Linked DNA regions of Arabidopsis thaliana. The main gene of each other region encodes a partner of the protein of the gene in region 3 in a complex. Each region holds a gene or a part of one and is shown on either strand. Other genes may lie near its edges. The genes, in order: AT1G12400, XPB2, AT1G18340 and AT1G55750.

The links.
Region 1: AT1G18340 (region 3) and AT1G12400 share a complex: the UniProt entries of both Arabidopsis thaliana proteins name them as parts of the 7-subunit TFIIH core complex.
Region 2: AT1G18340 (region 3) and XPB2 share a complex: the UniProt entries of both Arabidopsis thaliana proteins name them as parts of the 7-subunit TFIIH core complex.
Region 4: AT1G18340 (region 3) and AT1G55750 share a complex: the UniProt entries of both Arabidopsis thaliana proteins name them as parts of the 7-subunit TFIIH core complex.

Annotation. Positions count from the first base shown.
Region 1 is NC_003070.9:4,219,874-4,223,365, forward strand, and holds AT1G12400 (Nucleotide excision repair, TFIIH, subunit TTDA), read left to right. Parts: upstream 1-1,953; 5' UTR 1,954-2,137; intron 2,138-2,413; 5' UTR 2,414-2,422; coding exon of another isoform or gene 2,423-2,457; 5' UTR 2,458-2,496; coding exon 2,497-2,730; 3' UTR 2,731-2,992; downstream 2,993-3,492. Other genes in the region: AT1G12390 (Cornichon family protein), read left to right, coding at 474-545, 1,095-1,276, 1,356-1,478, 1,572-1,608; CLP2 (CLP protease proteolytic subunit 2), read left to right, coding at 3,226-3,275, 3,367-3,410. UniProt on the Arabidopsis thaliana protein: Component of the general transcription and DNA repair factor IIH (TFIIH) core complex, which is involved in general and transcription-coupled nucleotide excision repair (NER) of damaged DNA and, when complexed to CAK, in RNA transcription by RNA polymerase II.
Region 2 is NC_003076.8:16,542,582-16,549,960, reverse strand, and holds XPB2 (homolog of Xeroderma pigmentosum complementation group B 2), read right to left. Parts: upstream 5,622-7,379; 5' UTR 5,388-5,621; coding exon 5,378-5,387; intron 5,279-5,377; coding exon 5,235-5,278; intron 5,148-5,234; coding exon 5,075-5,147; intron 4,995-5,074; coding exon 4,826-4,994; intron 4,744-4,825; coding exon 4,521-4,743; intron 4,419-4,520; coding exon 4,362-4,418; intron 4,055-4,361; coding exon 3,911-4,054; intron 3,803-3,910; coding exon 3,722-3,802; intron 3,626-3,721; coding exon 3,538-3,625; intron 3,327-3,537; coding exon 2,989-3,326; intron 2,804-2,988; coding exon 2,728-2,803; intron 2,641-2,727; coding exon 2,447-2,640; intron 2,152-2,446; coding exon 1,988-2,151; intron 1,901-1,987; coding exon 1,828-1,900; intron 1,726-1,827; coding exon 1,612-1,725; intron 1,510-1,611; coding exon 1,429-1,509; intron 1,212-1,428; coding exon 840-1,211; 3' UTR 777-839; coding exon of another isoform or gene 724-776; 3' UTR 634-723; downstream 1-633. Other genes in the region: AT5G41350 (RING/U-box superfamily protein), read left to right, coding at 6,573-6,575, 6,797-6,937, 7,108-7,379. UniProt on the Arabidopsis thaliana protein: ATP-dependent 3'-5' DNA helicase/translocase; binds dsDNA rather than ssDNA, unzipping it in a translocase rather than classical helicase activity. Component of the general transcription and DNA repair factor IIH (TFIIH) core complex.
Region 3 is NC_003070.9:6,310,726-6,315,812, forward strand, and holds AT1G18340 (basal transcription factor complex subunit-like protein), read right to left. Parts: upstream 3,207-5,087; 5' UTR 3,010-3,206; coding exon 2,979-3,009; intron 2,856-2,978; coding exon 2,767-2,855; intron 2,686-2,766; coding exon 2,403-2,685; intron 2,134-2,402; coding exon 2,087-2,133; intron 1,894-2,086; coding exon 1,856-1,893; intron 1,770-1,855; coding exon 1,724-1,769; intron 1,625-1,723; coding exon 1,571-1,624; intron 1,487-1,570; coding exon 1,418-1,486; intron 1,311-1,417; coding exon 1,234-1,310; intron 1,150-1,233; coding exon 1,054-1,149; intron 963-1,053; coding exon 887-962; 3' UTR 718-886; downstream 1-717. Other genes in the region: AT1G18335 (Acyl-CoA N-acyltransferases (NAT) superfamily protein), read right to left, coding at 297-399, 497-601; MKK7 (MAP kinase kinase 7), read left to right, coding at 4,961-5,087. UniProt on the Arabidopsis thaliana protein: Component of the general transcription and DNA repair factor IIH (TFIIH) core complex, which is involved in general and transcription-coupled nucleotide excision repair (NER) of damaged DNA and, when complexed to CAK, in RNA transcription by RNA polymerase II.
Region 4 is NC_003070.9:20,839,889-20,847,974, forward strand, and holds AT1G55750 (BSD domain (BTF2-like transcription factors, Synapse-associated proteins and DOS2-like proteins)), read right to left. Parts: upstream 6,012-8,086; 5' UTR 5,977-6,011; intron 5,708-5,976; 5' UTR 5,248-5,707; coding exon 5,167-5,247; intron 5,081-5,166; coding exon 5,002-5,080; intron 4,873-5,001; coding exon 4,811-4,872; intron 4,704-4,810; coding exon 4,640-4,703; intron 4,541-4,639; coding exon 4,426-4,540; intron 4,332-4,425; coding exon 4,256-4,331; intron 4,177-4,255; coding exon 4,081-4,176; intron 3,865-4,080; coding exon 3,820-3,864; intron 3,472-3,819; coding exon 3,415-3,471; intron 3,316-3,414; coding exon 3,160-3,315; intron 3,063-3,159; coding exon 2,997-3,062; intron 2,496-2,996; coding exon 2,372-2,495; intron 2,223-2,371; coding exon 2,166-2,222; intron 2,082-2,165; coding exon 1,954-2,081; intron 1,870-1,953; coding exon 1,696-1,869; intron 1,602-1,695; coding exon 1,488-1,601; coding exon of another isoform or gene 1,434-1,487; exon of another isoform or gene 1,374-1,433; coding exon 1,296-1,373; coding exon of another isoform or gene 1,233-1,295; exon of another isoform or gene 1,135-1,232; and 7 more. Other genes in the region: AT1G55755 (uncharacterized protein), read left to right, coding at 6,227-6,278, 7,245-7,380, 7,631-7,688; AT1G55760 (BTB/POZ domain-containing protein), read right to left, coding at 7,229-7,831, 7,976-8,086. UniProt on the Arabidopsis thaliana protein: Component of the general transcription and DNA repair factor IIH (TFIIH) core complex, which is involved in general and transcription-coupled nucleotide excision repair (NER) of damaged DNA and, when complexed to CAK, in RNA transcription by RNA polymerase II.

The DNA.
Region 1 (3,492 bases), 2.1 Mb from region 3:
CCATTTTTGTTTTTAATTTTTCATTTTTGATTTCCTTAAAACTATACAATAAGACAATGACCTAAAAAAAATTATACACGACTCAACAAAAATTACACGGCTCTCGTGCCCAAACCCAAACTGTTTACTATTTAATTGGGCTAAATCTATAGAGGCCCAATGGCTTATAAATCATAGATTCATAATACTGAAATATTAAACCGGCGTAAATGGTACGTACTTCGGGAAATAACGAATTCGATTTTAACCGGAAACTGAACCGGAAGCTGAGTCTCGTGCCTGCCTTCTCTAGGCTTCTTTGTTTCCGATCAGAATCTCGAGCTCAACTGTCAAAACTAGCCGACCACTAAGTCGTTGTCCTAACTTTCTCTCTGTTCCTCATCGAACATTATTGGGAGGAGAGAGAGAGAGAGAGAAGACCAAGAAACAACGAGGATAGATCCGAGGAAATTGTCGGAACCAAAAGGAGGAAGATGGGAGATATCTGGACATGGCTTATTTCCTTCTTCTTCCTCATCGCTCTTGTCGGAATCATCGTCTATCAGGTGCGATTCCCAATTTCTAGGATAAATAAACCCAAAGTTCTTAACTTTTCTATCGGAATTTGCCAATTTTTTCGCTTACGGTTATAATGATACCATATTTGTCCATTTTGATTCATTTGGAGCCTTTTTTTTGTTTCTGGGTAGTCTGTGATTTAGCTAGAATTAGGGTTTTATGTTCTTGTCACATGTTTGGAAGAAGTAAAGGTGTAATTTTTGGGAATGTTATCATCAAAGGAGTAAATTCAGGAACATATATAGTGCGTATTGGCTTCTCAAAACACTTTTATAGGTTCATAGTTAGTTCTTATGTTGGATGTTCATGTCAGGTCTGAGGATTTACCTCCTTAAGCACAGGTTGTTCTTTTATAAATGAGCTCCATTTCGGCATAATGAAGTGAACCCTTTAGTTTTGTTTGTGTAGACTCTAATGAGAGGAGTCACTGAGACTGATAAGCTAGCAAACGGAATCTTCCATGTATAAACAGCTTGGGAAGACATTTTCTAGGAAGCTAACTTCTCTTTTCTGAATTTGAATTCTTTCATTTGCAGCTTGTTTGCTTAGCGGATCTCGAGTTTGATTACATCAACCCTTACGACTCTGCGTCGAGAATAAACTCAGTGGTTTTACCGGAGTTCATTGTTCAAGGAGTTCTATGCGTATTCTACCTCCTAACAGGACACTGGTTCATGACACTCTTATGTCTCCCCTATCTATACTACAACTTCCATCTGTAAGTCCAACTAATCTCAATCTTTTGCTCCAATCAAATGTTGTGGTATTGATATCCTTTCGGTTTCTCCGTTGTTCAGTTACTCGAAGCGACAACACTTAGTAGATGTCACCGAGATCTTCAATTTGCTTAACTGGGAAAAGAAGAAACGGCTGTTCAAGCTTGCTTACATTGTCCTTAACCTCTTTCTCACTATCTTCTGGTAACGAGAAAGATATTTCGAATCCCATTATTGCTTAACCATAAGTAGATCAAGAGAGCTAAAACACTTTCTGTTTGCAACTTTTTTTCGTAGGATGATTTATTCGGCGCTGGATGATTACGAGGACTGACTAATGAAGAAGACATGGTCCATCTTCTTCGGTTTATTGACACTACGCTTAAAGATACAGCGACATGCTTGTGGACATGAAAAAAAGCAAGGAAAAGTGTTTGCTTTGTGATGTTTGTAAGATTAGTGGCAGGAAGATTTGTGTATTTATTTCTTTCTTAGAAACATGTTCAGATTAACTGTTTTTTTTATGTCTTGATCATTATTTGTACAAGCAATCAAGCTCGTAAACTACTGGTTACAGTAACAATGAAACTGAATAATTTCAAATATAAGAAGAAAAAAAGTTAATTCATGTGAACTTTGACTTTTAAAAGTGAGAAACCCTTTTGAGTGATGTAATAAACGATAACTTAAAAGATGATCCGAACCTTCTGTTTCAGTTTTGTAATTAGGTTATCTTATAAAGCTAATCCTTCTCTCCTTTACTGTGACAATAATCGTCGTTATCAAGGTGATTTCTTTCTCTGCCTCAAACATCGCTTACCCTCTTGATTGATTCCTCCAATCTTCTTCGTGTGGTTTCACAGGTGTGTGGTTGATCTCTAGACCAAATTGATCTGGTTTCATCCTATTTCTATTTGGTCTGTAATCGTTAAAGTCTTAAGATTTGGGAATCGAGTTTATGTTGTGGTGTTTAGGTAGCGAAACCCCAGTTATGTAATCGTTGCATCTAGTAATTTGGGGTCCTTGAATTGAAACAAAGGATTAATCTTTCATTCATCTATGTTCTGAGTTATCGAGGATGTTCTTGGGTCATCTTTTGATGAAAATTGAGCTCAGATTATTCGTGTTTTGTATTACAGGTTTTACTTATGGTTAATGCAATCAAAGGAGTGTTCGTCTCTTGGTACTTCTTACCGTTGTTACGATTCCTAAGCAAATCTTGATGAACACAATTGAATCATTCATTGTTTCTTTGTATCTTTTGTTTGTTTGCAGCGATATTCCGATGACACAATTCATAGTGAACATGAACAATTCGATGCCTCCGTCTCAGAAATTCATAATTCATGTACTTGATAGTACTCACTTGTTCGTGCAACCACATGTAGAGCAGATGATCCGCAGCGCCATTTCTGATTTTAGAGATCAAAACTCTTACGAGAAGCCCACTTCTTAGATCACATCACATCACACTTGCTTCTTGTTTTTCTTTCATTTGATTCAAATGAATAAAAACTTCATTGAGATCGTGAGATTGGTTGATATGGCTCATGCTTTAATAGAGTTAAAGTGAACTTTGTTGACAAATAATCTCTCTGTACCGGTTTAGTATCAGTCGGTTTTCTCTGGTTGTGTTGATTACTTTGTCACTCTTTTGTTGAATAAACACGTTTGTTTGGTTATTGTTCAATTACTTGTAGTAGATAATAAACAGATTAAAGAATTCGGAAGTTCCAAATTTCATTTTACTCATGAAGGATGAACCAAGTAAAATCAGAAACTAAGTTAACCACATACAATTTGCACATGTGAACCAATTCGGTTAAGCAAACCAATAAACCAATCTTCTTCAACAAATTACCCAATCTGTATGTAAGCTTTTCCACTTCTTCTAGTCTTAAAATAAAACAAACAAAAAATCTAGTGTTCGGCTCTAACACGCTCGACGACCATGGCGGTCTCGTTTAATACAACGCTTCACCAGCCTTCTCTGAGTCCGAGGTAATCTTCAATTTATCTAAATTTACATACTTTTGTCTCTGTTCACACATATTCACTTGCATCTGATTGCTTTGTTATGTCCTTTTTGCAGCTGTAGCATCAAGCTTTATTCTGGGTTAAAGCCTCAATCTGCAAGTTTGTTCCTTTTCCTCTTAATATGTCCGAAAGTTCATGTTTTTAATCGAATTGGTCTGCGAGATGTGAGGGAACTGATTTA
Region 2 (7,379 bases), on a different chromosome or scaffold from region 3:
GACAATACTTTTTTTTGCAGGGTAATATGAAAATTAACCAAAATCAGTAAGATCGAGACTTTTATCGTTCCCCATATTGATCTTTTTCTCTTCATCGAATCAATTTTAGACATTATCTCTTGTCTTTTCAATCGATTATATCAATCCGGTGTCGAAGACAGAAATTCTACGACAGAGGGAAAACAAACGGTACCGTAAATATTTTCCGTTGTAAGCTAGACCGAGAAGCGAGCTGCGTCTCCGTCGCATTATGATTCGGATTCGGTGTCGGGTCCAGGTCCGGGTATGTCGAGTCCGTTACTGAGTTGATGTGATCATGTGAATGCAGAGAACGTTATAGCAGAAATGCAAACTCGATTCATATATAGAAAGGCTACAATAACGGATCCAATATGGGCATTTAGTAGGCCTCTTTTAGCGTGGGCTTTCTTTAATCTCAAATTGAGCCCATTATTATTTTTAATTCGAAATCATGACAAGTAATTATTTTTTAACCTCGAAAACTAAGTACGTTTTACTGTTGTTCAGGATCTGTCAACCAAATTATAATCGTGTTTTATATGTTGGTTCAGCGAGATATCATGACAGTTGACAATAACAAAATAATTTTCAAAGGTATTCTCGAGGCGATATCATGATATGCTAGAAAACAAATATCAAAAAAAAGGAAAGAACTTTCTAATATCAATTAATCAATTCACATAATAAAACAAATATCAAATGTTAACGGTCTTTTAAGGTAGGGTGTCTTCGTTTAGGTTTTCTTGATTTTGTGCCTGAAACAAATTTGCACCAAAGTTACAACTCAAAACATATAGCCGAATATGAGTTCTCTTGTCTCAAACATAACGTTTTTTGAAGATATTGTGTCGTTTGGTTGGGTCTTTAGGTTTCTTGGATTGGTTACCAGATTTTTGACGACCTGAGTTGTATTCCATGTAGACCCTTCCATTTGCACCGGACATTGCACTCATCGATCCCATGCTTCGTCGCGTCTTTAGAGCCTTTCCATCTGTGTCTTCTTCAAGTTGTTCTAAACCAACCATATCGTCTCCAGCATTCAACACCTTTCCGAGAAGAGACAACTGTTCTTCTTGACTGTGGTAGCCCAAGCTTGAACCCGCGTCCGGAGGTGGGAGGCTTGTTATTACCTTGAAGCTATAACCTTGGTCGATCAAAAACTGCTGTCTTTTCGTTGAATAATACATTTCCTGCATTTCAACATTCACGATCCTTACATCAGTCATTCTCCATTCAATCAGTCATTCGATTTTTATCGGTTCAGGAATTCAAGTCACGGGTTCTGGAAAGCAAAATTTTTTCTGTGTTTTGGAAACGAGTGCGGACTAGAACTGAATTATATTTTGGTTCTGATTTGGTCTGATGAATTTCAGTTTTTATGGCTACTTCAACAATAAAGTGATTTACCTGTGTATCGGTAGAAACAAGCGAGTAGAAGAATGCATTGTACTCTTCTTTTCCACCAGCCATTCTATCTTCAAGTTTACCCTGTTTTTGATCACGGAGAAATAAAACGTGTTGGATCCAACAACCAAGAGGAACTCTAGGAGAGACGCAAAATGTGATGAGTTATAATACTTAAAATCACACCTTAGCCCTAAGGATACGACCCAAACGTTGAGCCTCTTGACGTCTAGAACCAGCATGTGACGAAATCTGGATGATCACATTCGCTTCAGGGATATCTATGGAGTTATCACCAACCTGTAGTCAATAAAAGAAACCGAAACTAAGTTACTTGATGAAAATGGAATGAACAAGTCTCTATATATTCCCAGGTCAATGGAAAGGAAACAACGCTAATACCTTTGACAGGAATACAGTGTTCACGGTTTTACTGGTTTTAAACGCCTCGAGAATTTTTGTTCGTTCGATATGGCTACATATTGAACAAAGAGAACTATCAGATTGGAAACTGAGTGAAACATACAAAATTGTGCTCTCAATAGGTGGTTCTTTAACGAACCTGGTTGCACCGTAAATCATCGGTTTCCGGAGTTTCATTGCATACTCTGTAAGTGCAAAAAGATTGTCTGCAAAGACGATGATTTTATCCCCACGTTGTTGTTCATGGAAACGTATCAAAAATTCACAGGCTCTGAACTTGTTAGGGTTCATGACATAAAGCGCCTGCAGACACCAGAAGACAAGATATGTAAATGTCAGAACAATTGAAGGGGTTTCCTAGTTTCTATTACAGGGTGATCTATTAGAAGCATTTGCCAAATTATAAGACATACACAAATAACCTATAATATTGATGTTTACCATATTATAAGGTTCTAGACTACATCAAATTCATGGACTCTAGTGTATCAAAACAAACAAACATAAAATAAGATAGTCAATTATTTTAAGATCTTTATCCAGTAAAAATATCCAAGGAAAACAAAGATCAATGCGGAGAAAGCTTAGACGCATTAACCTGTTTTTTTTTCGAGTTCTCTTTCTTCAGATATTCTGCAAAAAACTCTTTGGTCATGGGACACCATACTTCAGCACACTGAACATTTGCAATAAAGCCTCCTTTAACTAAATCTAGCCAATTGGCTTCATAGAGTTTCGGGCCAATGAGGAAGTTTAAATCTGTAATTTTTTCGTCTTCTCTCACAAGGGTGGCTGAACAAAAGACCAAAAAAGAGACTTAGCTTCTGCAACTGAAGTATAACAAATAAAAAGGTATGTGAAAATGAATTTTTCATTTACCTGTAAGTCCTAGCTTGCAGTGAGATTTTGTAATACTGATAACTTTCCTAAACATATGGGCTGGAACCACATGCACCTATGAAAAACATAACTCTTAAAATGTCACGCATTGGATGGAAACTTGTTATTTGTAGATCCCAGTAACACTGGATAGTGGATACACATTCTAAATGAACCACATATAACTTTTCCGCAATGTAAACTACCAGTAAACACTAACTTCAATTCAAAGGCACATCACACTAAGAACAATTTGATTACCTCGTCCATAAGCAGCAACCCCCACTCTCTGTTTCTCATTTCTTCTATAATCTTCTCTGCTTCTTCAGATCGTTTACCACCAAAGGCAATCATATTATAGGTTGTCACAACAACACCAGCATTTCCACGGAATCGTTCTTTACTATCAGAAGTGAAACGGCATATTTGGTCATCTTTTATAGTAGACCACAACTTAAATTGGTAGGCCCATTGATCCACCGAGACAGCATTCGTTGCCAAACAAAGACAACTCTTCTTTATACGAGCCGCTGCAGAAACACCAACTAGAGATTTACCAGCTCCACAAGGTAACACTATAATCCCAGATCTTGCTCGTCCTGCAGAATCAGGAGTCTAGATCAGTCACAAGCTTTCAGGAGAAATAACAAAGATACTTATCTATTAGAAGTTCACAATGAAGCTAGATCAGAACAGTGTATGAAAGTACAAATCTATATATCTAAGAGAAGTTCACAATCAATTTAGCAGTCGCTGTAAACAAATTACTAAGGAAAATAAATGCGGGCGTAGACAGTTATATCGTATTACCGTTTCCAAACATTTTGCTCAAACTTTTTTCCTGGTATGGCCTTGGTTGTGCATGGGGCTTCAGTTCCATGTCAAGATCAGGATTAACCTGACAGACACCATCAAGTTATTAACAATCACGAACATCCAGTTCATATCATCTGATAAGTAAAAATTGACCTGAAGTGTGATAATTATTTCTCACATTATCGTTCCTGAAGTCATATTCCTCTAACATAGGGTAATTCAAGGCATTTGGCAAGCAACGCTGCTTAACATTCTCCACCTACACACCAAGAGCAGAAGAACATGACACCGTGAGTTGAGTAAAGATCATATAACATTAACAAAGTCATCAACACGATTTATTTCAGAAGCATTAGGGGAAATTTACCAGTGCAGGGTCTATCTCAAATGAGTGAGTTTCTTTCTCTTCTGCTGCTGCTGCCAATTCTGCTTCATTCAACAACTCCCCAGGTCCTGCTTCAAGTTCACCACTTGTTTTGCCGATCGTAAATCCATCACCACCATAATATGGCTAGAAAAAAAGTTAATAAGTTGGTTCAACATACTGTGGAGAATACAATGGTATAAGAGATATCAATTTCACATTCAATGAACCAAGGAGTTTAAAAAGAAGGATAATGAGTTTATTTATCTATTAAATAGTTCAAGAAAAAATTAGAATTTAAACACGAAACCAATAGCCCCAAGAGAATCAGGATAGATCTCTCTGCCGCATTGGTATCAAAAGATGCAAAAACTGTTGAGAACAACAGATCATGGTATGTATTTCCATCCAGTAATAGTAAACATAAAGCACTAAATTGAGGAGTTCAACATACCTCAGAAGTAAATCTTGCTCGATTTATGACATCATCACTGAGAAGCCTTTTCAACACCTAAGATTGTTTATATTTAACGAGTGAGCAAAACCAACAGAGAAACTACACAAAAATCCCATACGCATAACTAGAGAAAGAGGATCAGTCTGGTGAACTTACCTCCGGGAATGGTGATTCAATAAAATACCGATTTTTCTTCAATACCAACTTCACTTTCCCATAATTAGCAGTAGAAGCATGGATGAAATCAATGATCTCCCCGGGTAGCTTGGTCTTAGATAGCTTATTCAAAACAGAGATGATAGTTTCTGTCTCAAGACCAACGGAAACAGCAGCATACAACGAGTGTGGGGTTAAATTATACTCGTGCATTGACTCAGGCCTGAAATAGTAACAAATGAATGAAAATCAACAACAAAAATCATAACTTGTACATTGATATAATAATCAAATCAAAATCAAACCTGCAAACGGGTTCAGCAATGGCGATAAGAAAGTCATAAGCTTGTTTATAGAGAGGAGAAAATGTCTCCAAGAAAATCTTTCCATCAGCACAAGCCCACAAAGGCCTATTTCCATGATCCGGCTTCAACTCCAAATCAGTAAAATCTCTCCTCTTCTCCTCTCCTTCACCTTTAAAAACCATTATAAATTCTATTTCAATTTTGTTCCCAATGTATCTATGTTAATTATACGAGAGTAATCAATATTACCATCACGAGAATCCTCATCAGCATCATCATAGTAATCTTCAACGTTTTGTATGTTCTTCATCTTTTGATCATCCTGAGATTTTTACAGTACAATTACACTAACTAGAAGTGAAGAGCCTAATAAATAAAAAAAGTCATGTGGAGAAGAATCAACACGAACCTTCCCACCGTACTTCATCTTCTTTGTAGGTCGTTTTCTTTCATCTAAACATCAACATTTTCCCCAGTATTAGCATACTCTTTTCACCGGATAATTCAATAAACGAATCAAAACTCAGTACGATCGAGATTCGAGACCATTACCGTTTCCCATATTGATTTTCTTCTTTTCGCTCCTCTTAATCAAATCGATTTTAGGGATTGTTTCTCTTGTATTTTCAATTTGTGAATTCGCACATAACCTAAATTGTACGACGGAGGGAATATACAACCGTCTTCGTGGTAATTTCCCGTTGTAAGCTATTCAACGAAGCAAGCTGCGTCTCCGGCGAATTCGGATTCCTGTGTCGAGTCGGTGACTCGTTTGAAGCGGAGGAAGGAAATTGTTAAGCAGAAACGTAAGAACACGATTCATATATAAAGGCTGCAGTAACAGATCAAATATGGGCTTTTAATAGGATTCTTTAAATGGGCTTTATTCTTAAGTTTGAGCCCATGTTTCTTTTTTAAACATCGATAAATTATTTGCCGGAAAAAAAATAGTAATAATTTTACTGAAAATGGTACTTCCCAATTTATAATTTTTTGGTCGACACTTTTCAGCCGATTTTCAGTTATGTAATTTCATTATTGAAATTTTGAAAAATACATTGTAACGGAAAAAATAAAATAATTAATCAGCTAATTAATAATTGTATTAATGAATTTAATAAATCAGGTAAGTAAATATAATATTGAGCCCAAAAAGAGTCTTTGTAATTTCTTAGGAAAGTCATTTTGATAGAGCGCACGATAAACACAGCACCGCAAAAAGCACAGAAGCAGAGAAAGACGAAGACAAAACAAAAAAAGCTTCCCCCAAGAACAAAAAGTAAAATTCTCTCTATGATTTTGAGATTTTTAATTCCTCTTCTCTGATTCAATCTCGAGAAGATGATCGGTTCTTCTTTGGTGTTTGTTCTTGCTAGTGATCGCTTTTCTTTAGGTTTTGAGCTTGATTTTTGTGTGAAATTCTGTGGGTTTTTTTTTTACTGTTTTGATCCGTATTTCTCCTATGTGTTTATGCTAGATTCTGAGAATTCTGATGTTTATTGTTGCTTTTATAAGTTTCGGTTTAGGGTTTTACGGATTAGCTTGCTCTTAATGGAGCTTTGGTTCTTTTTGTGGATTCATTGTTTGTGTTGGAGTTAAATTCTGAGTAGAATTGTTTTAAGTTTTTGGGGTTTAGTGTAAAACTGATTTGAATTTATTGCAATTGTGTGTAGATGGTGCTAAAGAGAATGAGAATTGTAGGAGATTCACATAGGCTTGTAGTCGCAACACTGTTGTCTCGATTTTAATGGTTGATGTTTATTGTATCTTTGATTATTGAGAGTGAATTTGAACTGTTAGTAGCTGAATTGTTTTATTGTTGCTACTAGCATGATGAGTCTGATCAGACTTTAGTAGACAGCTCAAACTGATATCGAAAACGATAAAGCTTGTTTGAGTTTCTTGCATATAGATGATAAATATTCTCCTACTGATCTCAGAATGTAATTTGTTTCTTCACATATCTTGTAGGTTAGCATAGATGAAGAGTCTTCGGGTTTTGTAGTTTTTGTAAAACAGAAAAAAAAAAAAAGAGAAGAAGAGATGGGAGGTTGCTGTTGTTGTTCTTCTTCACGAAGAGCTGATGTAGATAATGGACCTGCGTACTACTACGTTAGTCTGATACTTCTCCCACTTCCTCGTTTTTTTTGGGTGTCCTTGCTTTGATAGGCTGCAAATAAATCAATCTTGATGTGCTTCAGGACACTAAATGAGTTAAAAGCCCCAACGGGCTTCGAGATTCATATGGGAATATAACTTGTTTTATGACTTGTATTTTGCAGTACCCAAGGGCAACAGAAGAGCGTGTGCCTTTATCTTCCGCTCATAACAGGACTTCCTCTGCAATCTCTACTGGTGTTGTAGTAGTAGACACAAACTTAGAGACATCATCTCCTGATGCTTATATACCACCGCCACTGCCTACCCCTTTCGATGTGCCTATAGGGATTCCTCAAACACCAGCTAGTGGTGAAGAGGCTACTTGTGTTGATATAAGAGAGGTTTCGGTGGACTCTGCTAATACCGAGTCTGCTCAAGAAACAGTTGATGGTAT
Region 3 (5,087 bases):
CTGAAAACAAAATTCACACAAACATTATCATAACTAACTAACAACTAATCAGAGCACACTAGATCATAGGTTACCAAAGTCTGCATGAGTAAGGGATTCACAGATAATTAAATCCATGTTAAAAAGCACGAATTCCAACTAACACTACATCTACTTCATAATGTAGTAACATTAGGAATTGTAAAAGTAAGTTTATATGCATCAAATCATTGTCAATGATAATCAGTTCGCATAAACAAAATCCCATATTTTTGAGAAACTGGCGAAAATAAAATTGAGCAGAAGAACAAATTTACCGTTTCTTCGGTAACGGCGGAAAGAATCAAACGGAGAAAGAGGATCGTCAATGGAAGAAGCTCTTTTTATAAGGTCATGAATCGTCTTTTTCTTCTCCAAAATCTGCACGACAATTCTCAATTATCGATTTCGAACAAAATCAAAGATCGAAATTTCGAGTGCTATGAAACATACACATTACTTCCGAGATTTTTTTTACCTTTCGCCGTTTCTTCAAATCCATTGCTCGCCACACCGATGATTCTCTTCCCTCTGTCTCGTTCGTTCTCCACGTCTGAAGTGATTCGGTAGGAGACGGATCCATCAAACGGGTTTGGACCCGAAATAGATCCGACAATAATAAATGACGTCAGCCCAAATGTCGTATTCGTTCAAATTCGATAGAGAAGCCCAACTTTCTATATGGACTATTAGAGGCCTTTTTGTTTTGTTTGCTCAAGTCAACGGGTACTATCTCAAGGAAAAAAAAAGAGTCAAAAACTTTGCAAAATTGATTTCACTTTGATATATGGTATAAAAATTATCGAAAATGAACGCAAAGACACAATTAAACAAAGTTTGCAGTTTCTCTCTGGCACAAAAGATGATTTTAGGTACTAGGAGCTTTTCTCTTCTTATCAGAGGCAGATGAAGCATCATCAAGTTTAGACTGACCAAATACAGACCTGCAAATTTCCAAAAGCTTTTCGATATTAGTATCAAACAACATGATAGATTGTTATCTTGAGAAAGAACATGACGGGTCAAATCTCTTACCCGCAGGTTGAACATTTCTTGTGATGCTCACAGAAAATGGACAGACACACTGAGCATATGTAGCCCATATCTATTGTCTTCTTGTGGCAAAAGCACCTGCAAATTTTGTACTTAAAACCATCTGTTATATATGCAGAGGAAGACCCGATTAATTGAAGAGTTAATGACTTGATCACTTACGATGCGCGAAAATCTACACCTATGGGTTTAGGAAGTTGTACAAAACCGCGGGAGTGCAAATCGGTTGCAAAGATTGTCTTTTGTGCAAAACAAAACAATCCAGAGTTAGCAGCCATTGAGTATTGAGTTCGCTAAATGAGAGACGAGTCACATAATGGTTTGCGTTTGGACTTGAGTTGCGTACCGTTAGATATTGAAATAGCCCATCCAACTGTTTAGGTGTATGATGTACACCACCAGTTATATAAGATGCCTACAAATAAGCCAGGAGATAACAGCTGACGCATAGGTCCAGTTTGACGAGTTAGAATCATGTATAAAGGAGAAATGATATTACCTGCTGCAAAAATGCTGAGTTCTGTACACCTATGTAACACGAATCAATGGGAACCTAAAGAACCAATTGATGAAGTGATTTGGGTACATGATACTGGATTTAGAGAACATCAAGAACCGGAAATCCCAAAGAACCAATCAAAATGAAGATTACCATCAAGCGTTGGGCAGAGAAGATAGAGTTCATAACAGCAACATACCTGAAAGAATGACAAAACCTTTTAATGAGACCAGACAAACAAGACAAAATCTTGCAAGTAGAAAAAAAATGAAGGAAGAAACATACTGTTCCGGGCCATCTGGGGAACCTTGCAAGCATAAAATCTGTATTTCATATAAACGTCAATAGCACAATCAGTTCTGTATTTTGGGGGTATACGATAGAACAGATAACACATAAGAAAAAGGAGTCTATATTCTCATTAATACTTTAAGCTGAAGATTCATACAAAGCAATCAACATGAAAAGTTTTATCCAAGACAACTGATTGATACATATATCCTACTGAACACTCACCCGAGGCTGGGGATGAAGATGTCCAGAACGGAAAACCCTCTGTATATCTAGAGCCATAAATTAAGTCAACAACAAAATGTGAAGACTGAAAATCAAATACATATATTACCAGATAACATTGATGGCCTTAGACATGCTATAGGTTTAGCTGAGAACAAACATGTCAACCTAAAATGTTCCTTACTTAACCCAGTCTAGAGAGAAAGCTAAGCTTCAAGATCACTGCCAGAACTTATGCAAACAAATCCTAATAGTTTGTACTATATATAGCTTCAAGAAACCTATCATGATGCTATATGCTTTTCCAAGAGGATACAGCAAAGAGCCATGGAGAGTGATCCTGACAAGAGACAAGAAGGTATTCTATCCTCAGACACTTCCTCCTTGCTGAGCTCCTCATCTTTGGTAACAAACTCTTCCAATTTCTTAAGCAAAGAACCAAAAATTGCAGGCATTCCAGTTCCATTGCTCTCGAAATTTCCATGATTTGATGTCAAAGACGAATCATAAATGTAATCACAAGAACTGTATCCAGTAGCTATAACTACAACTTGGTTCAACTGATTTAACCCCAAAACCGCATTAAGAAACGCAAGCACCTACACATAACAGCAGCAAGCTTTCTGCATAAAAATCGAAGCATTGAACAAACAAACAATAGATTCGTTAGAGACACTTACATGAGAAAGGAACTGAGAGAAGGTAATCGATGTAGTGCTCCAGAAAAGAGGATTCGTATCAAGCAACAAAACTAGAAGACTAACATCGTCTGCGACCAAAAAAACAATCACGAGCCAATCAGACTTGTTTCCAGTTTTTGGGATATCTAATCTACATACTTATACGATTGAGGAATGTGAGGGTTTCGAAGTAAGAGGAATTTAATAATAACCTGAATACTGCTTAGAAGCAATGGCAGGCATAGTTTCACAGACGATTCCAAGTCAGAATTTCAGTGTGCCGGGAAATCTTCCCGGTGGGAACGAGATCTGATAATGCTATTTCAGTGCCGGGAAATCGTTTTTTTTTTCTTCTCCAATATATCTTCACAACAGGTCTTTGAGTTTTCCGATTACGAACCAGAGTTAAAGAATGAAATTCTCGGATGCTATAGTAACTTACTGAAAAATTCAAGGATTTTTAGCTTATACAGAAATCTGAAGTGATTTGGTAGGAGCCGGATCCATCAAACGGGTTTGGATCCGAATCAGATCCGACTATAAACGTCGTATCGTAAGCCGGGCTTACTAAGCCCAAATATGGCATTAGTTCAAATTTTTAGATAGGCCCAGTTTTCTTTATGAACTAAACCGCCTTTTACAAGGGCCTTTTGTTTTCTTTGTTCTTTCTTTTGGAAAAGAACACCAAAATCTCAAGGAACAAATTTATTTTTCAAACTGGCTACTGATACGAAATTCAGTTTATTCAAGCTTTATACTATCGGACGTCGATATATTAATTTTAATGGTAAAAAATTTTGGTTGAAATGTTGTTTGTTTCAATACTAAAAATTAGTAAATTCACACATGTCCTGATATCCAATCCATCCTATGAAACTATAGTCATGTTTGGAGATCGTCTTGATATATAATACATGGGGCATAAAAAGCTTACTACATTTTTTTGGGAGTAACAACTAACAAATAAACAAACAAGTTTTTTGGTTGGAAAAAGAAGCAAATCACATTCATAAAGGTTTGATTGACTTCATATAATTTGATTGTTATTCATTTGATTGACTTCATATTATTTTTATTCAGTATTCTTTGGATATATACGCGCATGACAATCGACATGCTAAATACTTGTAATCCGTAGGGTCATGTGTGACTGTCCACTAAGAATCTGAAGATCTAATCATAGTTTTTACTAAAATCATATTAATAATTAACTTGGCAATATTAATGGCGATGGCCATTGGAAAGCTTTTGCATGATGGCCTAAATATAACTTATTGTTTGGTCATTTTCATTAGAAGTCCTTAGCCTCCGAGGTACATTGAACCTCACAAATTCACATTAAACTTTAAAATCTCCTATAGTTTAGTATATGAAAATTATATAACTAAATTCCACCAATGTCTTTATGAGTAAATAATAATCTTACTATCAAGTCAAATTAATATCACTAAAATAAATGTTTTGAAAGTATTATTATTTTTCAACAACAATGGATTATGTGTTTGAATGTGAAGATAACGATTCTGATAGGTAACACAAAGCTTTAAAGTTGTTTTAGCTGTAAATTAGAATGCAAAACTATATAAATAAGTAGTACAAAAAGTTAAAAATAACGTTTTTATAACGCTTTTGTAATTTGTAATATCACGGTACATGCTGTACCAAACTTTGATAATTGAGTTACCATTCAAAATCACTAAAACAAACTCTTTAAATGCATATAAATCTAATCATTAATGCAAAACGTTAAAAGTAACGCTTTTATAACGCCTTTGTAATTTGTAATTATCACGATACAGGCTGTAACAAACTTTGATAATTGAGTTACCATTCAAAATCACTAAAACAAACTCTTTAAATGTATATAAATCTAATCATTATTGCGTAGATTTATCTCAATATACACAAGCCACTATAGCCAGGTTCCGGGTAAGTAGGACAGATAGCAGTCCCATGCATTTAACCTCGTGCAAGATAAACATAAACGGTAGACACACTAGTTGCCATTTTTAGATACAACTCAACAAATAATAATTAAGATAAAGAACAAAAAAGAGTGATTAACATTTAATGGAAAGATTTATTAGCTTCCCAGGCTCCTCACTTAAATCCCACTCAAGTCTCCATATAAAAACTGCAACTTCCATCACTCTTCGATCACCATCATCACTCTCTCTCTCTCTCTTCTATTTCCATGGCTCTTGTTCGTAAACGCCGTCAAATCAACCTCCGTCTCCCTGTCCCACCGCTCTCTGTTCACCTCCCCTGGTTCTCCTTTGCCTCATCCACCGCCCCCGTCATCAACAACGGAATCTCAGCTT
Region 4 (8,086 bases), about 15 Mb from region 3:
ATGTCAATATGACAAGCAATGAGTAACTTTATCTGTTTTTATTTTTTTCCTCACAATGAGTAAATTAATCATTCAAATCAAAAGTTATCCATGAATGCTATGTCAAAAAAAGTTTTATGTTGAATTTTATATATTTCTAATTTGGATTGTTGTTTGATGCGATTCAAACATTGAAATCTACTACGCCATCGAAGCATTTTCTCTATTATTGTCCCATTATTATAAATATTCACCAGTAACCAAATAACCAAACAATTATGGCACTGAGAGCTTTCTTGGAGCTGTAGTAACGTCCTCAAAGCCTGTAGAGAATTTACTAATACATTGCAAACTTAAAAATGTTCAGATCGAGAAAATCTCTTTGTTGTCTCTCGCAGTTAACAATATAACGCCTAATTAACAAAAAAAAGAAAAGAAAATATTACTACAATATAAACGCATTTTTGTATCTCAATGGTCGGACAAAAAGGGACAAATGAAGATTTTCAAAAACACCAACCAAGGCTGATGAAACAATTCAAAGATCTTGCAAAGCTTTTTAGTTTTAGTTTTTTTGTCCTCTATACGTAGCCGTTTGGTCTTTCGCCGCTCTTAGCTGTTCTTCTCTGCAGATCCACTTCGTAGTGATGGAACGCAGCGTCAAGAGCCTAGCAGAGAAAACCGATTAAGATCAATTTTCAAACCGGATTACAATGCAAGGCTGTAGAAACTGGATATAGATGCAATATGAGTGGAAAATATAGACTTAACCGAGACATGATGTAATAAAAGTATAAAACTCTTCCGTAGATATTGGAAGAAGCTAACCTGTTGCATTGGACGAACCAGTAGAGAAACCTGATGCCGGAGATCAGATTGCACCGACTCTTTCATTGCCTGAGTTACATGGAGTTTAATATCAAGGAAACCGTACAGTTGACCATATATATGCAAATAAGATTCGACTACAATACTGCATCAATTTTATTTACCCAAAAATTTCATTTTCGTAAACGCATTGGTATGATTAGGAACTACTGTTTTAACATAGCAGATTTACTATCAGTTGCTTATTCTGTCAGAAAGATGAAGAATTTCAAAGCTTACCTCAAGTTTTGAATATGTATTGGACATTGCATCCTTCAGTTTACCAACCTGCATGATAATAATATAACATCACAAGAATCGACGAAAAATATTTGGTATAATAACTTGCTCTTGGTGTATAATAAGATTAAATTTCCCGTGAAAGCCTAGGAATCAATATATATAGCAATTTCTGGGACTGGGAGATTTGAAAATTGCAATAACATTACCTTGGTATGAAGATATGTGGTTGTTATCGGATAAGATGACCAAAAATGTTTCAGTAATTCTTGTATTGATGTCCAATGCTGTAGATGAAAGAAGAAAAGTCCTCTTATCCATATGCATTACTACCTAATCTTCACTAACTAGTACATATAGAGCTTCTTGTCACTTAGGACACTGGAAAATGTCGGACTTACGTGTAGAACTTCATCCTTAGTGGACTTTGGTAATCTGTCCAGAAAGCTCTCTCGTGGGTTCTTCCCATTAATATTTTTAGCAGTTGCAATGGTTCGGGTTAACGAACTGAAAACCTGAATAGGGTTAGCAATTTTTAGCTCAGGCAACAAAGCAATAAGTAATGATTTCTTTTGTCAGCACACTTTTTATTATGTGACAGAATAGCACCTCGAAAGAAACTTCAGGCTTAATCAACGGATCACTTAATCCTGTAGCTCTAATCTCTAAAATGGATTCCTTTAGTAATCCATAAGCTTCATGGACATTTCTCTTCAAGCCCTTTGCTCCTCTGGGTACATTGAGGACGTTTCCTTGTTGAGATTCAAAGTAATCACGAGGATCCTGATTCCAAAGAAGAAAGGGTAAGCGGATTAACGCAGCATCCATCATCAATTGTGAAAACCTTATATTGGCAGAAAGCCAAACCTTGATAGAAAGCGGCGCCAATGGGAAATTTTGTGGTGCTTGAAGATCCTCCATTCCTGCTACCCGGGACATTCTTTCCAATCTCTCCTGATTAGCGTCCTTGGTGGTTTCACCATCAGCTTTGCTTACTAACAGGGGTGTAAAATAGAGATGGATAGCAAGGTCAGATGAATAAAAAGCGTGGCATTGTTTAGCAGAATGAAACATCATACCTTGTTTAACCCGTGTGAGAGCCTCTGCAACAATCCTTGTATCTTCTGACTCAACATCTGCTTTCCAATTACAGGAATATTATTGTATATTTACCACCAAGAACTAAAGTCAAAAGGCCAACATAAATGTTTACACTTCCTGAACTATCTACTGTTATAAAATATTCAGATAAAAAGATTCAAATGAGGTTCTTAGAGGTGTTTACCAATGCTTCTGCCTTCCAATACAACAGCAGCATGACGATTAAGATCTTGCAAAAGTGATCGTTTAAACTGATCATTTTGTGGTTCAACAACATCCATGGTGCCATCACGCTGGATCCCGTGGTCCTGTGTTATGGGAAAGTTATATTAAGTACGATAAAGTGTATTGAAAATAACGTTTCAACCGCATACAAAGAGCACAATGTCAATGTTAAGATTAATATTTTCTAGATATCAGTTTTGAGCTCCTTCTCACACATGCTAATATTAAAGTAGTGGTCTTGTGAAAAAGCAAAAGCACTAATTCAGAGTTATTTGAAAGAAACTAAATTCCTGATTTAACAATTCAAATTAGGTTCGCTGAGAATTCTAGAAGAAAGAAACAAGTGACACACATTGGTACAGGTTTGATTCTTAACACCGTTAGTATTATCCCAGTTCTTCCCATACTATTTCTACTAGGGATAGACAATACGTAAACATCAACACTACAAACCTCGATGAAAGACTTATTCTATGTGTGAATCTGTACAGTGTTAACTGAGCATTGAACTTTCCTTTCAACAACCATTGTTGCGCAATTTGGAAATTATCCAAACCTTTCACATGCAGTGGTAGTTGACTTACCATAAGATGAGTGTAGTCGTCTCCCTGGTCAGCCTCCATGTCAAGAGTTGGATCAACCCGTCTAATCTACAGAGATGACATTTAAATCAGATGGATATGCCACAAATATTTTCTTTTCAAACAAAATATATGATAAATGATTAAACCATAGAAGAAACCTAACCTTGTGACGAGTTTCCCGAGCCAATATCTCATCAGGCTTCAGAAAGACAGCGAGTTCCTCGTCCTCAGCAGCTTCTGCTGCAGCTACTGCTGTATTTTTGGTGCTGTAAAGATATTCTGCTCTAAAATATTTTGTCCAGAAGTCTTTTTCTGTCATCTGGCGTAGGAAAATAACTACCAAAGCCAGTTAAGATTCGTCGTATTTGAGGGTTAACCTTATAAACAAAGATGGTCACAGTGAGCTGGTCTTTGTTACCTTACTCGGAACATAATTGATGAATGCCTGCCGAACAGCTGGCTTCTCAGCAAAAATCTGAAAGCGTAATGAAGAAAACATAAGTAAGAAAAGGACTGTAGCAGTTACGAAAGTAACATTTAAGTTACTTGCAATGGATTTACTGGCTAAGCAAGCACAAGATAGAATGTGGGTGAAAGACTGTTAAAAAAGTTTATATTCCTCATTTGTAGTTTCAGATTGGACTAGAAGTTCAAGCACATGATGCAACCTGAACACCTAACAATGGATTTCTGACCCAATATATCACTAGCTGCAACTTCAACCCCATAACATATAAAAAACTTATGATGACGACCTTGGAGGGATTCAGAAACTGATAGAGCAGTTACACTAATGACAAACATAGTGAACCAAAGAGCTCACCTGAAAAATTATCTCAGGTGTCAAGTTAAACGTCACTCTATTAGTCTGAAAGAAGAAAAATGAAGAAAGTGGTTAGTAAACCAGCAGAGATGTCACATGATAATATGATATATATCAACATATGAATGTAATTCAGTCGAACACATCAGTGTATGGTCATATAGATGCATTGTTTCTTTCCTACAAAAGCAGGCACATGAAAATGCTAACTAAATTGGCTGTACTAACTGCCAGAAAGGAGTTGAGATAACTATACCATACCCGCCCATCAGTAGATGGTTTGATGCCAGAAACCATCATGCTCTTAAGCCCGAGCTGCTGTTTTGACTTTCTGATGGAATCTTTACCAAGTAATTTCTGCAGCCAGAATAAAGTCGGTAACTATGAAGACATTGAAGAGAACAAAATTTTTAAAAAAATCAAACAAAGAACCAACCTTTCTTGTAGCCCAGAATTCATCTTCAGTCAGTACTTTACTTTCCACAAATTGCTTATGCAATCTCTGCAGCTCACTTTAAATCACGTATGTTACTCATATTAGAAGGAACTTGATGAGCCAATGAAACTTTGAACCCAAAAAGGCAACTTAATGTTCCAATTACATACCTATTTTCTCTCAGAAGCTTGAAGCGCAGCTCCAATTCCTTAATACTGAGTTGCTCGGAAGATGTCGAGACAACGGATTTATTAGGCTCCAATTCACATTTAGCAAGGGCCTTAGCTGTTTATAGTAAAAAAGAGGTTACAGAAACACCACGAAAGAAAACAAGAGAAATACTTTCCCAATCAATAAAAGCAAACCAAGGGACATGGAGGTTACTGATGAAATCACGGCAAGCATGCATGTCGGGATAATTTTCAAACTCAAAGATATGACTCTTTGCCTACAATCAAGGATGAGGAAACCTCAATGAACACAGAGATATAGCTTCAAAATTCACATATCTATAATGTATCATAGCTTTAATCAAAAAATGTCAACAGAAAAAACCTGCTTGTTGGTGAGATTGAGCCAAGGAGGTTTATTTGATCCTTCTTTGGTATATTTTTGACCTGAGAGATTGAACAAACACAGTGAAATTTGATAATGACTATGCAGCTATCATCATAACTGAAATCGTTTATCAACACAACATCTATTATCCAATAAGCAATGTTAATGAGAAAAGGTACAAACAATACTTTTGATGTTCTGAGTAAGTACTTTGAGCTTAGAATCTGATTTGGGATCATTAGGGACGAAGAGCAACATCCCTTCTCTCTGCAAATTTTTCGATTTTGCAAAAGAAACAGTTAAGCTGAGAGATAATATAACTCAAATAAGAGCGAAAAGTGTAATCTTCATACAATTCTGAGAAATCCAGGAGTTCCTGGATCCTTGACAGTGCTCTTGTATTTGACTAGCTTCTCTATTTGCCCACCAGCCATATCCAACTGTAGAAACGGTGGTTCTCTGTTTTCCAGTCGATCAATTCATCGGAAATCAAGCGAAATTGGAATCTAGGTTTATACTATAGAACGGGAATAAGTATCCGACCCGAATCATGACCCAACTTACTGACCCGAATTAAACTGCTACGGCCCATTATGATTGGTCATGTGATAAAATGAACAAAAAGTCAAAACTAATTAGGGGCATCAAAATGTAAGATTCATCCTTATGTCGATTTTCATCTGATCAAAGACCGGTGTGTAGATATCCGACCAAGCTTTCTTGAGAGGAGAGTACCGGTTCGGTGGAACGGCTACTTCTCTAAACTGAACTTTCCCATCAGACATTTCATGAGCCTTCAAAGTTCAATGGCTTAACCGTCATAGGCTCGGTTTCAGTTGCGGATTGAATAGACTCTGCCATGGACTTTAACACCTTCAATGACTAAATTCAAACCTGTAAAATAGCATACAACACCTTAAATTATGATAGTCTCACGACTATAATCAATATGTACCAAATTCTGTAATCTCTAGTATAAATCAATAATGAGGATAGACACAGAAAAGAAGAAAAGATACATATTTGTGCATTTATCAACTAAATTGACATCGACAAAAAAAGACCACAAACCAGATAAAGCTTCAAACGATAGATTTTTTTTGAAAGCTCTATAGAATTGAAGCTGATTACTGTACAGAAGAAGAAAAGAGTAGCTGGCTTACTAGAGGATGTCGACGGCTGAAGAAGAAGAAGGTAGACGTAGAAAGAGTTTTGAGTTCGAAATTTGGGAGGTTTTTTTGATTAGGGATCTATTTATTACAGAATGAAACGACGTCTTTAATATTTTGGGCCACTAATAAGGCCCATTATTGACGTAGTTCGTTTGCCGGGAAAAAATAATTGAAAAAAAATCTTCATTTTCCAGCATCTTATGAAGAACAATATTCCCTCTCTTCAAAATTGGAGGAAGAGATGAAGCGAATCTCAGATTCGAAGATGAAGAAGGCGATGGTGGTGGTGATAGGTAGCTGTCGAAGGTAAGTTTCTTCTGCAAGGAAATTCCATTTTGTTGTTTTCGTCGTTTTCATTTTGCGATTCTATTAGACCCATATCGGTTTACTTGTCTGATTCTTCTTTTTCACTTTGATTTTTCCTACGCATGAACACCATCCATTCCATATATCAGATTCGTGCGACATTCTAGTTTCTGATTATTTGGCAGTCACAGAGATTTCCTGATTCGAGTTCGTTTCTATGTAATTTCCTCTTAGTTTTCCGGCATTGTGGCGGATCTCAGAGGTCTTAGAGTCTGATTTTGTTTCCATTGAAGACGATCTGAAATCGCTTATGTAGCTATTGATTCAGTTTCAGGGAGTTGTTTTCTGATTTTTTTTTTTCCGGAGATTTGGTTTCTGTAAACCATGTAGTACTCACATTGGTATGTAGCACAGATTCTAGTCTTAGAGTAGAAGAATGTATATATTCCTCTGTTTTGAATTTTTCATATTAGCTAAGAAACTAGTTGGTTGATTCTCTGAAACTACTGAACCATTCCTGTTGAATTTGCTTGTAGCATGATATGTTTTAACATCTGTCACCATTACAATAAACTAGGGAAGATTACAGATCATGGGAGGATATGTATGTTTAGCTTTTTAGCTTGGTATAACTTTAGTATCATGAATCGGGTAAAATTGCTAAAAGATGATTGTAGATTTTACTTTAAAAGTTCAGAAAACTATATTAGTGTTATAGATTAACAATTCAAAGTTCAAGCTAAGAAGCTCACATTCAATCAAATCATGAATTTACATGTTGCTGTCTTATCCTTGTAAGGACAATACTTGGGTTTTGAGTTAAAACCCCCAATACTTTAATCTGTACATAAAGACCAACAAATCCTTTTGCACAAAAAATCAGTGTCCATAAATGTATTTTGTATAATTATAGCACACATACCCTTTCTGATTTCCCCTAAAATCCTTTCCAGGTACTGAGGACTTCGTGGAAGATTTCAGAAATCAAATCTCTGTCTGCGCATTGCATGAATATGTTGAACTCGTCTCGGATCTCAAATATTTTGCCAAACTTCACAAGATATCTCATGCAGCTAGCCTTCAGTTCAGGTAATTGATAGAGATAAGCATTCTGTAGCCTCTCAAGCACATTCTTTGTGTCGATATCGTCTAGAAGACTCAAGTGGCACGCCTCTTTTAAATCAGCAATATCATATTTCTCAGCTGCTTGGAGGAGTGCCAATCTGTGTATAAGAAAGTCTTCGTTTTGGATATTGCCGTAGATATAACTGAGAAAAGCTTGGCAAGCATCAAGTGGCATGTCGAGTACGTTTATTTCTGATAGTTCTTTCTCTTTCAGGTCGTGTAAAAACATGCTGCGGAAAACAGGTGAACGGGCAGCGAGAACTGCTCGGTGAGCTCCAATGCTTCCATCAGAGGCATTGATCGTTATGTCGGTGTAAATGCTTTCTGTCAACATACGTCCAAGGGATGTTACCGCAGTTACTTGCGATTGATTCTCAGTTGAACCGTTGGCCCAGATAGAGTAAAGTTCTCCACTCTGCCGAATTCAGGTAATTTATCAGTTCAGCACACATGTTTCACCAAACATACTGATTCAATGTTGCATAGAATAGTTAATTTAAGAAAGAAAAGGCTAGTCAATCTATAAGTAATATCTCTAAGTGATGAGACAGACACTTACATCTTGAGACAAAACCTTCAAGTCAAGAAACTCGACGTCGATGATGATTTTCCCAGTTAAGGGAACTTCAATAGTCCAAATAAAATCTTCGTTTGTCTTAATCCGCTTATC